Linked DNA regions of Lepisosteus oculatus. The protein of the gene in region 1 binds, or shares a complex with, the protein of each later gene. Links are inferred from orthologs where the notes say so. Each region holds a gene or a part of one and is shown in the gene's direction. Other genes may lie near its edges. The genes, in order: taf1c, taf1a and taf1b.

Region 1 (5,016 bases):
ACAGGCACAGGTGTGCCACCTTTATTACTGAAGGAGTAATAAACATAACAGGAGTAATACATAACAGGAAGGACTACAGCAAAAAAAAAAAAACATGTTTTTATTTATCCCTCTATCCTTTCACTGGGCGTAGAAACTCTGAGGGAGAGAAGAGATAAGATAAGATCACTTTATTGGCCATATACAATTTCTGGTATTAGGAATTTGTCTTTTCGCATGCACACACGGAGAGGGAGAGAAGCTGGGGGTCAGAGCACAGGGTCATCCATTTACAAGGCACCCCTAGAGCTAGTTTCTGTTTCCTGTCTCCTGAACAGGAGTCCCCTCGCCCATCCGCCTTCGGCAGGAGCGTCAGAACACGTGACTCGATGGGACAACCTGTTTGTGTTACTATCTGCCCCCTTCCTCCCAATCCCATGTCAGAGAGCCGTCGCCCGCCTTGAGTGGAGTTTCCATCTCGCTCTGGGGTCCTGCGGGTGGTCTCAGTGCAGCCCCACACCTGAGGGCTCAGCAGCCGGGTCCCCTCCCACACCGCCGCCAAGGGAGCCCCCAGTTTCTCGCGCTGCTGGCTGAAGCCGGAGCAGCGTGTCTGAAATGTGTGAGCCCTGAAAGTGGTGCCCTGTGCTCCACAGCTAGTGCCTCTCTCTCCGTTAAATTCCTCTCCTCTCCGCCGGTACAGTCGCGCCTCCTCCCTCTAGACTAGGGCAGCGACTGGCCCCATATTCCCCGGACACTGTGAGACAAAGCGGCATTTTAAAAGTGCCCTGACACCGAAATACATCATTGTGTAAACCGACCAATAGACTTTTACTGAATTGACCTTCACGCTTAATTATCAATCAGGGGCAGGGAATAAAATAGTTGTATATGATTCTTTTTTCTCAATAAAGAAGCGTCTATATCTTTTTTTAAAAAAAAATAATTTCAATCCACCCCGTCACCTGCAGAGACCCCTCTTTGAAAGTTGCTATTTGCATTTTCTTCGAATTGGGTCTTCATTGGCAAGGTTTGCCGATCACATTGATGGACCGACAGTGCAAATTACGATTATACTGTAGAACAGATGACCTAAGAAAAACTAATTAAAAAACTACCAGCTGGTGGAACGCATCGAGACAAATCGCCAACATTAAAAAAATGGACAGCTGTCGTTGATCAAATAAAACAGTTCTCCGCTGATACTCTTTACTCCACGACCAAACGAAAAAGAAGAAAAAAAAACAATTTAGTAAAAAGGATTGACGTTTAATTTACACCTTAGGCTACGTTTAAACCCCAGACTCCCAAATGTGGTGGCGCACCTACAGTACGCCTGAAACCGGGTTTAATGAAAGTTTTTTTTTTTTGCACTGGACTCTTGCCGGCTCAAGTTTCGCAGAGGCCAGGGTTATTTGCCTTGACAATAATCGCTGTTTTTTTTTCCAAATTTGGCAACAGCCGGTAACCGACGTACCGGTTAGTGATGGAAACGGTTTTAGTCAGTTCTATGTGTTGGCTGTACATGTCCCAAGATGTATTTGTGTTGTGTAAATGTCTGTAGACCTTTGTATTCGCCGTGTGCGCTTTGGCACCACTGTAACACTGCGGTCATGACAATAAAGCTGTTTGAATTTGAATGTAGTGGCGTCCCCCTTTTCCACTAAGCCTGAAGGGCCTTGGCGAGCTCCTTCTCCTCCGATTGGTTACCGGTCTCATCCAGGGGAAGGGCTCACTCTTTCCTCTCTCCACCCCCCAGTCCCCCCAGTTTGGCGTCAAAACAGACTCCTCCTGCCGCGTTGGCTTCCGTTTTCGGAGCCTTTCGTTTACAGGAACACGTGTGGCGCGTACGCGTTCTTGTTTCGGACTGATGGTGTCGGGAAATTAATTTAACAACCAACCAACAAAAACAAAAAACCCCGTCAGGTTTGTACCTAGTCGTGCAGCGCAGCGCGGAGCGGAAGGGAGACGCGCTCGCCTCGTTGCCCAGTGCTGGGGTTAAACGGGGCCGGTTTGACACATGGGTCGAGCCCAGACATGGCCGGGCGTACGGACAGTGCGTTTCCCCCGATGCTTTTCCCCCAGGCCTACAACACCGGGCCTCCGGGCAGGACCGCTGGCGTCCTGCCGGTTGTAGGCGGCTGGGGGGTCTACGGCCAGATCCGGGGAGTGGACCGTCTTGTGCCGGAGGTGAGTACTTCAGCTCCTGCGCTCGCAGATCGTCAGCAGCTCCTGCGCAGGAACCTGCCGCTTAAGAGCCTCGGATCGTTTTTGCACATGCAAATGCACAAAGAATCGTCTTGTTTTGGTGGGGTGTCGTTTCACCCTGCATGCTCGCCTAAGTGCTTGCTTGAGCAGAATGGGATGTATCGCCTTATTTTGCAAATATTTTGCAATAAGATCATGCAAAACCTTATGTTGCATTATCTGCCAGCTCGCTGGCTGGGAAAAAAAAAACTGTTTTGCCTGACCTAGAATAAAGTTAGTAATTTGATCCATTCGGTTATCTATATACGCGATACAAAAGTGGTATTTCATGACGGTGTTGGGAAGATTTCAAATGACGGGAGGCCGACGGTACATCGTTTCGTAACTTAACTCATTGATCAGGATGTCAACCAGTAGTGTCTTAAAGGCAGCGACGGGCTCGTCTTCAACAACGTGGCCGACAAACTGGTTCCGTACTCCCGCAGTCTTTTTGTTTTCTGTTTTCGTCTGGCAAGGCTGATTTTCAACAAGTCTTGTAGGGTTTGGTGCCTTTTTGAGGATTTTGAATACCTGTCTCGGGTCCCCTCAGAGTTAAGTAAGAGCCCAGAGCATTAGTTTTGGCAGTGTGTCTGCGGAGTTTGAACTCCAATTCTTTCAGCAATCTTTTTTTGGGGCGGAGCGGTGGCTCTGTGGCTAAGGATCTGCGCCTTTGCCTGGAAGGTTGCGGGTTCAAATCCCGCAGCCGGCAGGGCAATCTTACTCCGTTGGGCCCCTGAGCGAGGCCCTTCACCCCAACTGCTCCAGGGGCTCTGTACAATGGCAGTCCCTGCGCTCTGACCCCCAGCTTCTCTCCCTGTCCGTGTGTCTCATGGAGAGCAAGCTGGGCTATGCGAAAAGATGTAATGCAAGAAATTGTAAAAGGTTAATAAAGTGATGTTGTTGTTGTTGTTATAATTATTTTTTTTTTTTAACTTTGCCTGGTGTTTCCAGAATGCTGGCCTAGAGGGTAAGATCAAGATAGAAGCCCAACACAAAGTAAAAGGAGAGGAATGGAGGCCGACAGAGCCCATTGTATGTCCCTTGCTGCCCCCGAATTCAGGTAACTGGCCTAGTGTCATTTATCGTATCCTAATCTTTAACCTAATCCTTATAAATTTCTTTCTTCTACCCCCCTCTTAATGATCTCGTGGATAAAGGATTTCATTCCCAACAACACCGCTGTATGCTGTACTGTTCGTGCATTGATAAATAAACCTTGATTGATTGATCGATACTTTGCTTCGGACCATGCTGCAGGCGGTATTTCCTGTCTCCAGTGGGCGCACAATCGGTGGTCTTCCGTTCAAGCACAGTTGTTGGTAATCCGATCCAGTTACAGGCCCCCCCCTCTAGAAGTACTCAGACCCTTCCTTTGTCATGCCACTTGTGAAATAACAAAATGATGTGCACACTTTTTTTAACTTCTTCATTTTATTCCAAACCTGAATGGCTCAAAATGAAGAATTTTAAGGGTGAAAAAGAGTTACGGTAAATATCAGCAAAACCTAAAGAGGAATAAAAAACGGAGAAATATAGATTCTGGAAGTAAGAGAGGACAGAATTTGCTAGAAGGTTACAAGAAGAATACAATACATTCATACAGTAACAATTTACAAGATTATGCAATAAAAAAACCATAGACAAGGAAAAAACATCGGGAGGGGGTGGATTTACATATGTGTAGTATTTATCTGTTCTAATCACTTTTTTCCCCTCTCTTCAGATTGCAAGATTCCCTCATCAGCTAACTCTCATGCCTTAGACTTCCCAGAACATGTAAGTGGTGTTGCAAGTTATTTTAACATCTTGTGATTCTCTGAGAGTTTGGAAGTGAATTGAGTTGAAAGGCATGTTGGTTCCTGCTTACGGACACGAGGCTTCAGGAAAACCTCACCACGGAAAAATGTAAATGTTAGTAAATGGGTGCCCAGAGAATAACCTGGCATCTCATTTGTGCCTTTGTTTTTGAACAATGTGTTGGTGTTACACTTACAGTTTGAACCTGTCCAATATAGTTTTAATCCTCTTGAGTGCTTGAGAAGTAACTCTTCTAGATTCAAGCAAATACTAGTCAATTCTGATTGTATAGCACTAACTGATTCAGATTGAACATTGTAAGAGTACAGTACCCCGAGTTATGTTAAAATAGAGTTTGTATGATTGTAGATACTGAATGTATACTGTGAAACTATGGTTCATATTCTGGGGTTGAAAGAGTTGGTGTTGTTTTTTATTTATGTCTTAAAAGCTTTATTTCTGTCATTTCTTGAAGTTGCGGAATTTCTACCTGGATAACCATCAAGATGCCTTTGGGACTATGAGCCGTCTGTTAGATGAACACTTCTATTTTGGTTACGGTAATCTACAGGTATGGGAAGCTATATTGGTGGGGTTTTGTAAAGCGCAACGCTGTCTTTCAGTGCATTGAAACCATGGTTGTTGCCTAGTTGCTTTTTTAGAACAAATCTTGTTCAGTTAGTTCAGTTCTGGTCCTGTTGGTGTAGCTCTGAAGTCTAGGCCTCATTATTTACAGTTGGCTTCAGTGTGATTCTATACTATTGTGTGTGTATTTTGAATGTTTTGTGCTGTAAAATGGCGGCAAAAAATACAAAAAACATCACATTAAGTTTGTTTTTTGATCTTCATTTTCAACGTTTTTGCTGCACTTCCAGCATAAAATTTGAATCAAGTCTGATTATCTGTGGGTTGGCGCTTAGCTTTATATTACTTCAACAAGACCTTTCTTTTGATATTTTGTCTTGCTTGCTATCTCATTGTGATTTGTCAGGAAGA
Region 2 (5,016 bases), on another chromosome or scaffold:
CTGTTTCTCTTCTTTCAGAGCCTGGACAAACACATGGACCCATTCTGGATGAATTTGTCAACTGGTGTGATCCTTCTTACCTTGAGATTATTGTGTCAAAAACAGAATAATGGTTGATCTAAAAAACAAACAAAGCACTGGCATTCCCACAACCATCCATGGTGAATCAGTTGGTATAGTTCACAGTTACAAATATCTGGGTTTGAGGTGTTTGAGGAAAAACTTAAGTTCCCTGAGATCACTGATGTCATTGTGAAGCATTGTGAAGCACTTAAAACAACCAAAACAACAAATAACAAACATGTTTCCTTTCCAGTCTCACAGAACACAAGTATATATATGTACCTGGATGGGAGACCTCTTGGGAAAAACTAAGGTTGCTGCTGGAAGAGGTGTTAGTGGGGCCAGCAGGGTGCGTTCACCCTGTGGTCCGTGTGAGTCCTAATGCCCCAGTAAAGTGACGGGGACACTATTCTGTAAACAGCCGCCATCCTTCGGATGAGACCTAAAACCGAGGTCCTGACTCTGTGGTCATTAAAAATGCCAGGGCATTTCTCGAAAAGAGTAGGGGTGTAACCCCGGCATCCTGGCCAAATTTCCATTTTCCATTGGCCCTTAGCAATCATGGCCTCCTAATAATCCCCCTCTATGAATTGGCTCCATTACTCTGCTCTCCTCCCCACTGATCGCTGATGTGTGGTGAGCGTTCTGGCGCACTATGGCTGCTGTTGCATCATCCAGGTGGATGTTGCACATTGGTGGTGGTGGAGAGGAGACCCATTAACTGTAAAGCGTTTTGAGTGGAGTGTCCAGAAAAGCGCTATATAAGTGTAAGCAATTATTATTATTTTTACTTATATGTTTTGAGAAAACAGTTCCACAGAATCCAGAAAAGAATTCTATCAGCATGTTAAAGGTATTATATATGGAAGCCCGTTTCCGTTTTTTTTACTCCCTGGCGGAAACGGGCTTCCATATATAGCTTTTATATCAAAAGTATTTTAACTTTTTCATTTAACCGTAGATTCAATTCACTCAGTCAAAGAGGCAAAAAACACCTTCAAAATGTTGCAAACCTCAGCTTAGAAATCATTGGACAGCCTTTAAGACCTCTGGCATAGCATTGTGTCCATCAGATCCTGAGGAAGGCCTGTGACATCAGTGAAGGCTCATCTCAGGTCTTTCATCAGTCTTTTGAACTTTTGCCTTCGTGCTGTCCACAGCACAAGACAAAATAAAAGTTTGGTTTGCTCCAGAGGCCACCAGGCTTGTAAACAATGAATGTAAAGAAATTTTATCACTATGACGTCAATTGGATAACACCCTACTCTACAAATGTGCAAATAGTTTAATACCTTCTTAAACATTGCACATTGTTACTTTCATAATAACTAAAGTATTTTGAACTGAATTGAATATAAAACTGCGTGTTAGATTTATAATTTGTAACATAGCATATAAAATAATATTTAGTTTTAATTAATTTGTTATACATAATTAGTAATATTGGGTCGATATATTCACAAAACCAAAAAAAATAATTTATTGTTTTCTGATTTGTAATTCCTTCTGGCAGCGTATTGTTGATGATTAATTATTTTTCTTCACTTGTCTTTTTCGATACCTTTTCTGCTTTGGTTGTATCATAAGGTGTTTAATAAAAGCTTAAGAAATCAAATACATGTTTGTACCAGAAGGTCCAAATAACGTTTACTGTCAGATCAGGCTACCACAATAGTACAACATTATGCTCTAGGTCTGCGCAGATACACTGCTGCAGGTTTCTGCGCTATAGGAACTCTGCTTTAGAGTCAGAGTCGTCGTCCATGACGTAGACCATGTTGCTGTTTTCCGTGGGCATGCGCACTGTCAAATTTGGGAGGTCCTGGAGTCTACATGTGTGGTGATCAAAATGTACTAAAATACGATTAAGTCGTTTTTTCGTGCAAAATGAACATAATATCGTTTCAATAGTCAAGAAACCAATTTATGTCATTTTTTATAATTGGAACATGAACGAAGACGTTTTATCAAGCAGGTTTGGTTGTCTGAATTATGTTTAATGTTGTGATTTCAGATAAATGTTTCTTTTACGCGTTTGAAGTTTTTTAAAGTCGTAACACTGGGAAGGTGGATTACCGTGTGCTTCTTACTTTCGGAAGTGAGCTGAATTAAGAACAGACGATACAGCTTTCAAACACTTCATGAAAACAATACGAAAGCCTCCTCTATCATAAACTGTATTTCCGGTGTTTTGTATAGCCTTTAATACACTTCGTATCAGGAAATGTAAATTGCGTTTTAGGTCGTGCTTAAGCAAATGCAATCGAATAAGAAGTGTTGTCCAAAACGTTTTAAAAAACTGACCTTATAACTAAACCTTAGAAATTGGCATGGATGTTACTGGTTCTTCAACAGGGTTCTGGTGAGGAAAATCATTAGTATACAAAGTAACTTACATAATATGCAAATAGGACAGACGTTTTAATGTTATTTGTATGCGTGATCATCTTCGATTTAGTGATGTTTTTTCTGATCAATATGTGAAAATCTTTTTCAGAGGAATTCAGTATGGAACATAAAGCAAGGTACTGCTATCATGGATTCCTTAAATCTTAATATTTTCCTTTTTTAACGAGATAAAAAGCCCTACTGAGGGCTGCAAAGACGTTTTAAGTGCTATAATTAAATGTAACACTTTATGTCAAACTATGTATGAGCCTCTTAATCCCTCTTAACAGTTTGCTTGAAAACCTTATAAAGTAGAAGAGTTCACCTGTCATTTTTAGCTGTTCACAACAGGAACATGTCATATCCTTTTTCTTTTTAGGAGACATGGATGACCTATGTGCTGAATTATCCCAGTCTGACCAGCAGGACAGTTTAGACGATGAACAGCAGATTTGTAGTCCTGAAATAGGAGGACGACCTCATTTGCCTCTATTGCACAGTTTCAAAGGTAAGATCTTCAATATTCACTGTTTTAAAGCAGTGCCCAAGCCTTTATCCTATCGGCTTACCGAAAATAATTGAAAGGCTGTTTTGTATTCATTCTTGGAAGTAAAAAGGATTTGTGTTTCCTCCTTTAGAAACGTTGCCAAGGAGAGAGACTGGTTTTCACAAAAGCTCCAGAATATGCCTGACCAAAATTCAGGAAGCTCTTTTCAAGCACCGTTGGGAAGAGGCTGCAGAATACATGAAGAATTACTTTGAAACGCTGGAAGACACAACTGTTCGGAAGCAGACTGTATCACCTGAAGTGAGTGTGGCCGTGACTGCACTAATTTAAAGAAGAACTGCGTTCACAATTTTGTAGACTAGTTATTATATCTATGTAACAAAAAAATAATTGCTGGTATAATAAAATGTTACAAATTCCGAATTAAGCAAAAACTGGTGAGCTTTGTGAAAGTACTGTATAGTCGTCATATAGTCACAAACCCGTGCTCTTGGCACAGGCAAGAGTGCAGATTGAGATATGAGGTGGCCCTTCCTGCTCACTAGTCACTGTAATGACTAATGAGTGAATAAGTACAGGCTGTGTAGCGGACATTTCACTGCAGAAATGTTCCAACGTGATCTGCATGCAGAGTTAACAAAAAAGTAGTATTTGTTGGCAAAACCTTCTCAAGGTTGAGAGCAATATTTCTGTTGGATTACAAGAGATGTATTCACAAGCTTGTTTGTTTACAAAGTCATAGGGCTGCTATGCCTCAGTGGAAGTTTGGTTGCCTCGTTCTGAATTGTAGAACAAGACATTGAGCATAGCTGGAAATGTAATCTATTTTATGATGTAAATTGCAGGTTTTACACATTACTGTGTACATTTTACTTTCATTGTGGTTTGAAATGCACTCATCAATGCTGATTCTTTCTAACCCCCAAAATATAAAAATAGCATCGCAGTGTTCCCCTTTTAAAAACAAAAAGTGCTCTCAGGTCCACTAAAGGTGCATTCAGTTTGAACCCTAAAAAGGTCATTGCTCGTTCAAACCACTGGTGTCTCATTTTGTTCGGTGACTGAGATTCTCTTAAAAAGTAGGGCATGATTATCCTGGCACTACCGGGGCTAGGTGGACATGAGTTGGTCATGGCACACAGATAAAATGTCATACAACGTACAACATCGACCCCTTTAGCTTGCTGGGCTCATGTGAACGTTCTGTGTTGTCCATGAGAGCTGCAACACTCCTCTGATCAGTGCTGAGTCCACTAAAGGAACTGTGTGACCCAATGTGGTGGATGTCTGAACACAAGTATACTACACATGCTTTCATCTCAGTTTAGTCCTCAGCCTCCCTGAAAGAAGGTAAAAGAACTGTACCAATAAAGTGAAATTATACTTTTTTTCACATTAAAAGTTGGAGAATATCCTTGAAGGAAAAGAGTTGTTTTTGATGAGTGCGTTTATTATTTTATTACAAGAGTGTTTAATAAAAATCCCTACTATTGAAATAAGGTTGCCATATTAATGTTGAGGGATTAAATGTATAAGGAAAACAAATGATGTAATGGGACCTGTACAAGTTTACCTGCTAGGGAGATGCATTTGGTCATGGTTTGCGTTACATGCTCTTTGCTGAAAAAGCATTATTGCAGCTAAAACATTATATTTATGACAGTATTCAGAGTCACCAGTAGAGTAACTTGCCCTATACAATTTCACATACTCTTTACTGGTAACAGGTATTCTGCTGTCGTTTCTAAAAAATCATTTGACTCTGGGTAGTTATGTCTTACCCCTTCACAGGGAATGACTTTTTGAAAATAAATTTGAAGTCGGGCCGAGTATGATTCTTTTGGGGTGCAATCATTTTATGAAACAGGTTTTCACACCCTTGTCATGGATTTAGCGGTTTGTGTTGTAGAAAACCACTGCTAAATAAAATGGAAGCAAATAAAATGTCATATCAACGTGTTTTAGACCGATTGTGCCAAAATGTTTATCAGATTTTGCTAATATTTTTCAGGTAATCTGGAGGATGGGCTCAGAAATTCTGCATCACCTTCCTAATG
Region 3 (5,016 bases), on another chromosome or scaffold:
ACGGACAGTACCACAGTGGCACACTGACTAAAACTTAACATCAATTCAGATGTTCACTCTGGTTTCCCCTCAAACCAAATCTGAAAAAAAGAAAAAGATGCTCTGATGTAGTTTGCGATATGGACTATTTCAAGTGCCAATTCTAGATATTTAACGCAAACAGCCACATGACCCTCACAGCATGACCACATTCCTACTTGACAAAACTAGAGGTTCAGGGAGTGCCATTATATTTCATTCCTATATTCCGCATGATGAAAAGCGAGCCTTGAGTGCCACCAGCTGGGCCTGTGACCAAACAGCAAATCTAGCTTCATTATTACAGAAAAAGCACTCTCGCCCTCCTCCCGTTACGTTAAATATATGTATTTTTCCGATTGGCATCTGCACATCTTTGAGGGACGATGGGAATGCAGGGGCATATGGACGCCACGACACTTTCTGAAGTGGTCGAAGAGGCCGATCCTGACATGACATGATCTTGCCTGCCTTTTATTTTCCCTGGCGTGGTTTTCTGTATTTTTGCAGAATTTGTCATCTGCACCTTTGCTGACAAAGAGATGTCTGAAACGCGTCTGGTTAAAATAAAGGCTGCTTTGTACATTTTTCCCCCTCTACCGGGTCAGCGCCACAACATACTGTCAATCCTGTCCTCAGCCCCCTTTTAAATGTCTTCCCCATTTGCAAAAGCCCGAGCAACCTTTTCATTATTCATCATTGCTGTCTATATTTGCACAAGCCTGAGGAACCTTTTCATTATTCATCATTGCTGTCTTTGATACAGTATATGGAGACATCTCCCCTGTCATGAAGCATGAATCCTGTCATTTATCAGAGACGAGGAAATACCTTGTGTCAGATGTTTCAGAATATCATCCCCATTCCCTGCAGTTGTCTAATTCCCAAGGTACCAAACAAAAATGCCAGTTTCCTCACACTGAAAGAGGCCCCATGGCCAAAACGTTGTGTTTCTCTTTTTTTTTTTACATTTCTGCATGGAATGAACCTTTACGTCTTAGTTTACAGCCAGCACATGCTGACACAGCTCCCTACTCAAAGGTCAGCTAACGACTGTGACAGACTGTGTATGTGGAGATTATGGGCCAGTTGTTCATTAGAAGTGGTCTGAAAAGATTAGCGACTCATTTAGTAGTCTAATATCATCATAGCGTTTCTGTTTTCGAACTGAAGCCGTGACCCATTCCCACAACTGATAAAATGTGCAACACGATACGCATGATTTCAGGCAATGGTGTTTTCTATTATCTCAGCTGCTCTTATGCTGTTCAGATGTTGTACGGTAGGTAGATATCTGCAGGTTATTTCCAGGTTAGGATCTCTGCACCACAAATCTCTGCAGTCATTAAAGTACTATACAGGAAAGCTGCCCCAATGGGTTCTAAGGTTTTAATCGGAATCTTAGAATAGAAATACAGCTCATAATTTTCTCCAGCCCTTTAAAACACCATTTTTACACAGATACTACCATTGAATCTGCAACATAACTTTCAGCTAAATTCGCTTAATCCTCTTACTGGCGTTTTTACACTTGCAATCTGAATCACGATAGTGAAGTGAAGGTCATGTGATGGTAGCTAACTGAAAAATCTGATGCTAAACTTAATAAAACGAAATCATCTGAAACTAGGTCGCTACCGCTAAAGATTCATTCGCCTACAAAAACCCTAAAATATTCATATACATTCTTAAACTTAAAAAGATTATCTGACTTTCTCTATATATCATATAGCAAAACGAAACACAGATAAATACACAGCCCCAATCAATAACTAACGTATGTGTGCATTTTGCATACGCCTTGTTACAGACGCTCACGGTTGCAACACGACAGCATTTAAGTGTTACACCGGAAGTACCGCATGTTTGTAGTAGTTACAAACATTGAAGAATGTGGACTGTATATACCTTTTAATACCTCATGGATGATGAACATACTGTAAGTTATTTACTGATTTAAAATGATGTTACGGTACTGACTTTGCTTTTGCGAGGTATAGTCAAGGGCGATTGTACTGCCAAACTGTCTTTGACGTTGTATTATAGCAAGTAAACGTTTTCCACTTAAGCTGATGAAAAAACACTTCAATTGCGTTTGGTCGTATTTTAAATAACGCTTAAAAACTCTCCCAATGCGAAAACGGAGAGAAGAAAAATCTGGTCTATGAGACAGGTCAGACAAACCATGGGTTGATAGCTATTTTCCAATCAAAACCTTCAACCCTTACCGGGGAACCGATTAACGATATGCTAAAATAAAAATAACATTATTTTATATATTGTAGAAAAGAAAAAAAAACGCTTTAAAGAACACTATACAGTTCATTTAACATACATACATGTCTCAAAAAAACAAATCGTAATCTGTTTTTTGGGCAAAATGTACCCATGCTACTGGGGATCACTGGTGATTCCAGGAGTGACATTAAGAAGAGTTTGGTGGAAGCGACACAGAATAAGTGTGCCTGCGTCGCCTTCCTCCGTGTTTCTGTACTGTATGTCTTGTGCGGTGCTGCCTCTTGCAGAAGGACTACCGGGAGCCGTGCCTGGTGTGCTCCGAGGTGGACTGGGGGCTGACGGATGAGGGCAAGTTCTACTGTAGGTCCTGCCAGAACGTCATCGAGGTGAGGCAGACCTGTTAGATTATTAGGAACAAGTAAAGGCTTATTCCCTGCTGAAAAGAGAAGAAAGGAAACAACGTTTCACGCTGGGGAGCCTTCTTCGGGGCGTTGTCTATTTTTTTCTCTTTTCAACATGGAATAAACCTTTACTTGTTACTTTTTGTAAGTTGTATGTTATTTAATGTGTTGTTGCTGCTGCTGCCCTGTGTTTTTTTATGTTTCCTTTCACAGACCCACAGTAAAAAACCTAGACTAGAATCCATATACTATATAGCCCCTTTGTGTCTGACTGTCTATCTCCCAAATGCTTAAATTCTCACAACTGTTCTTGTTGTAACAGAGAACCAAAGAATTGGACCCTGAGGACGTCTTTTGTGGTTCCAGCTCAAGAATCTCCTCTATTTCTCAAAGTCTACGGCAGAAGAAAAAACTAGGTTAGTTAGTCTTTGCTCTTAGGAGAGGTTTGGATGTCAGTTTTGAAGACGTGCTGCGGTTCCAAAGCTCTTTCTCTGGATACTCAATATTTTATTCATTTTGCATCCGGAATTTGAAGTTGTTCTCATATGTGGGTTTTCACCTGAGAGCCGTGACCTGTGTTTATGGGAAGTGATGGATGCTGACTTCACGTACTAGAGTGTTGTCTGCAGCAACTGGGAACCTGCAAAGCTTCATCATGTATCAGTACCGGTTGTGACGGCAGATCTCTCCTTTTTGCTCTGTTAAAATACTATGGGCTGGGTATAGAAAATGACAGTTCAAAATCTAAAAATGGAAAAACAAGCCAGAAAGGAATTTGGCCAGGATGCTGGGGTAAAGCCCCTACTCTTTTCGAGAAACATCCTGGAATTTTTAATGACCAGAGTCAGGACCACGGTTTTACATCTCATCCAAAGGGTGGTACCTGTTCTACCGTATAGTGTCCCCATTACTATATTGGGGCATTAGGACCCACGCAGACCTCAGGGTGAGCGCCCCCTACTGGCCCCACTAACAGCAGCAACCTAAGTTTTCCCAGGAGTCTCCCATCCAGGTACCAACCAGGCTCACACCCGCTGAGCTTCAGTAAATTTTCATTTGTGGGCTGCTGGGCTGCTGCTGCTGTTGCCCTTGAGAGAGAGAGAGAGACTTCACTCAGATTTCTGCTGTGAATCTCCTGCTGTATACACAGGTCTCCAGGCTGTCTCCATTGCAATTGAGAATTTCTTTTCAATCGAGGAGGTAAAATAACCAAATACGTCAAAGGATTTCCATATCTGTGAAAACAAAAGGCTTCTGATTTGCTGAGCTTAATTATTGTGAAATATTGCTAGGTTCGCATGTCATGTTGCAGCTCTTCTGAAGTCATTCTGAGTGGGCAGCTCTGGATGTGGGACTGACCTGAACTGCTTGGCTCTCTACACTTCTCTAATACACTACATCCCCCTTCTTCACTGCTCAATATTTGCAATATTTGTCTCCCCCCCCCCCCCCCGGGCGGTTATTTCAGAGCGAGGCCGGGAATGGATGGTGTGTGAGGCCTTCCAGTTTATCCTGCAGAAGCAAGCCAGCGCTCTCCTGGAGATGGGCGTGGACCCACAGTTCAAGGTACCGGGCTCCACGTCACGGACTGGGGGAGGCTCTGGGCGCGGAGAGCCGCTGGACCTGGGGCGCGAGCAGAGCAGGAAGCCGATGTTCCTCTTTCGTCTGCTCCTACTACAGAGCAGCACCAAAACAGAATCGGAAAGTCTACAGATTCCCGCAAGATAAAGCGCACAGCATTAACAAAGCCAGCATCCTCCCGGCTCATGTCCTTTTTCTGGAATTGGTTTGTTTATTCGTATTGCTTCTGGAGAGGCAGTGGTCCAAAACTTAAGTTATACCACCTTTTTTTTCAGTAGTGAGCAACAGCTTATGGAAGGGATGTGCTTCCTGATGTTTAGGACCAGACGGGCAGGTCTGCTCTGCATGGTCCACCGATTTAAGGATATCAGTTGTTTCCAGTTTGTCATTATTTCCAAGGCCAAGAACGTGACTTGGCATGAATTAGAATACAGAGTCACACGTGCCACGTTTATAACTGCCTTGTGGAGTTTGTGTTTGGTCTCTTTTTTTGAGTAACAAAAAGCGACAAAAAGTATTTCAGGGGTTACAAAATTGATGTCTCGTCTTTCGCTGTGAGGGGCCAAACCCCACTATTAATATTTTTTTTTTTTAAATGTTAATGGTCGCTTGATAAAGTCTGTAAGAAAAGGTGTTTAAGATTTGTAAAGGGTCTGAACACGCTTCCGATTTATTAAATAAAAAGCACTTGTTAGATATTTCAGTATTCCTCCAGCTCTGTGGTGTTGTTTTCAAGTATACTTGTAAATACATCACACACTTACAGTAGCTCAGAGGA

The links.
Region 2: taf1c (region 1) and taf1a share a complex: the UniProt entries of both Homo sapiens proteins name them as parts of the transcription factor SL1/TIF-IB complex. The link is inferred for Lepisosteus oculatus from reciprocal best matches to the Homo sapiens genes TAF1C and TAF1A.
Region 3: taf1c (region 1) and taf1b share a complex: the UniProt entries of both Homo sapiens proteins name them as parts of the transcription factor SL1/TIF-IB complex. The link is inferred for Lepisosteus oculatus from reciprocal best matches to the Homo sapiens genes TAF1C and TAF1B.

What each region holds. Positions count from the first base shown.
Region 1 is NC_090698.1:66,529,399-66,534,414, forward strand, and holds the start of taf1c (TATA box-binding protein-associated factor, RNA polymerase I, subunit C), read left to right. Parts: upstream 1-1,613; 5' UTR 1,614-2,013; coding exon 2,014-2,166; intron 2,167-3,174; coding exon 3,175-3,283; intron 3,284-3,946; coding exon 3,947-3,999; intron 4,000-4,495; coding exon 4,496-4,591; intron 4,592-5,016. UniProt on the Homo sapiens protein: Component of the transcription factor SL1/TIF-IB complex, which is involved in the assembly of the PIC (pre-initiation complex) during RNA polymerase I-dependent transcription.
Region 2 is NC_090697.1:42,662,010-42,667,025, reverse strand, and holds the start of taf1a (TATA box-binding protein-associated factor RNA polymerase I subunit A), read left to right. Parts: upstream 1-1,845; 5' UTR 1,846-1,896; coding exon 1,897-1,914; exon of another isoform or gene 1,915-2,038; intron 2,039-2,560; coding exon 2,561-2,588; intron 2,589-2,830; coding exon 2,831-2,959; intron 2,960-3,089; coding exon 3,090-3,259; intron 3,260-4,970; coding exon 4,971-5,016. UniProt on the Homo sapiens protein: Component of the transcription factor SL1/TIF-IB complex, which is involved in the assembly of the PIC (pre-initiation complex) during RNA polymerase I-dependent transcription.
Region 3 is NC_090697.1:11,859,089-11,864,104, reverse strand, and holds the start of taf1b (TATA box-binding protein-associated factor RNA polymerase I subunit B), read left to right. Parts: upstream 1-1,850; 5' UTR 1,851-1,939; coding exon 1,940-1,957; intron 1,958-2,543; coding exon 2,544-2,642; intron 2,643-2,979; coding exon 2,980-3,073; intron 3,074-4,125; coding exon 4,126-4,223; intron 4,224-5,016. UniProt on the Homo sapiens protein: Component of RNA polymerase I core factor complex that acts as a GTF2B/TFIIB-like factor and plays a key role in multiple steps during transcription initiation such as pre-initiation complex (PIC) assembly and postpolymerase recruitment events in polymerase I (Pol I) transcription.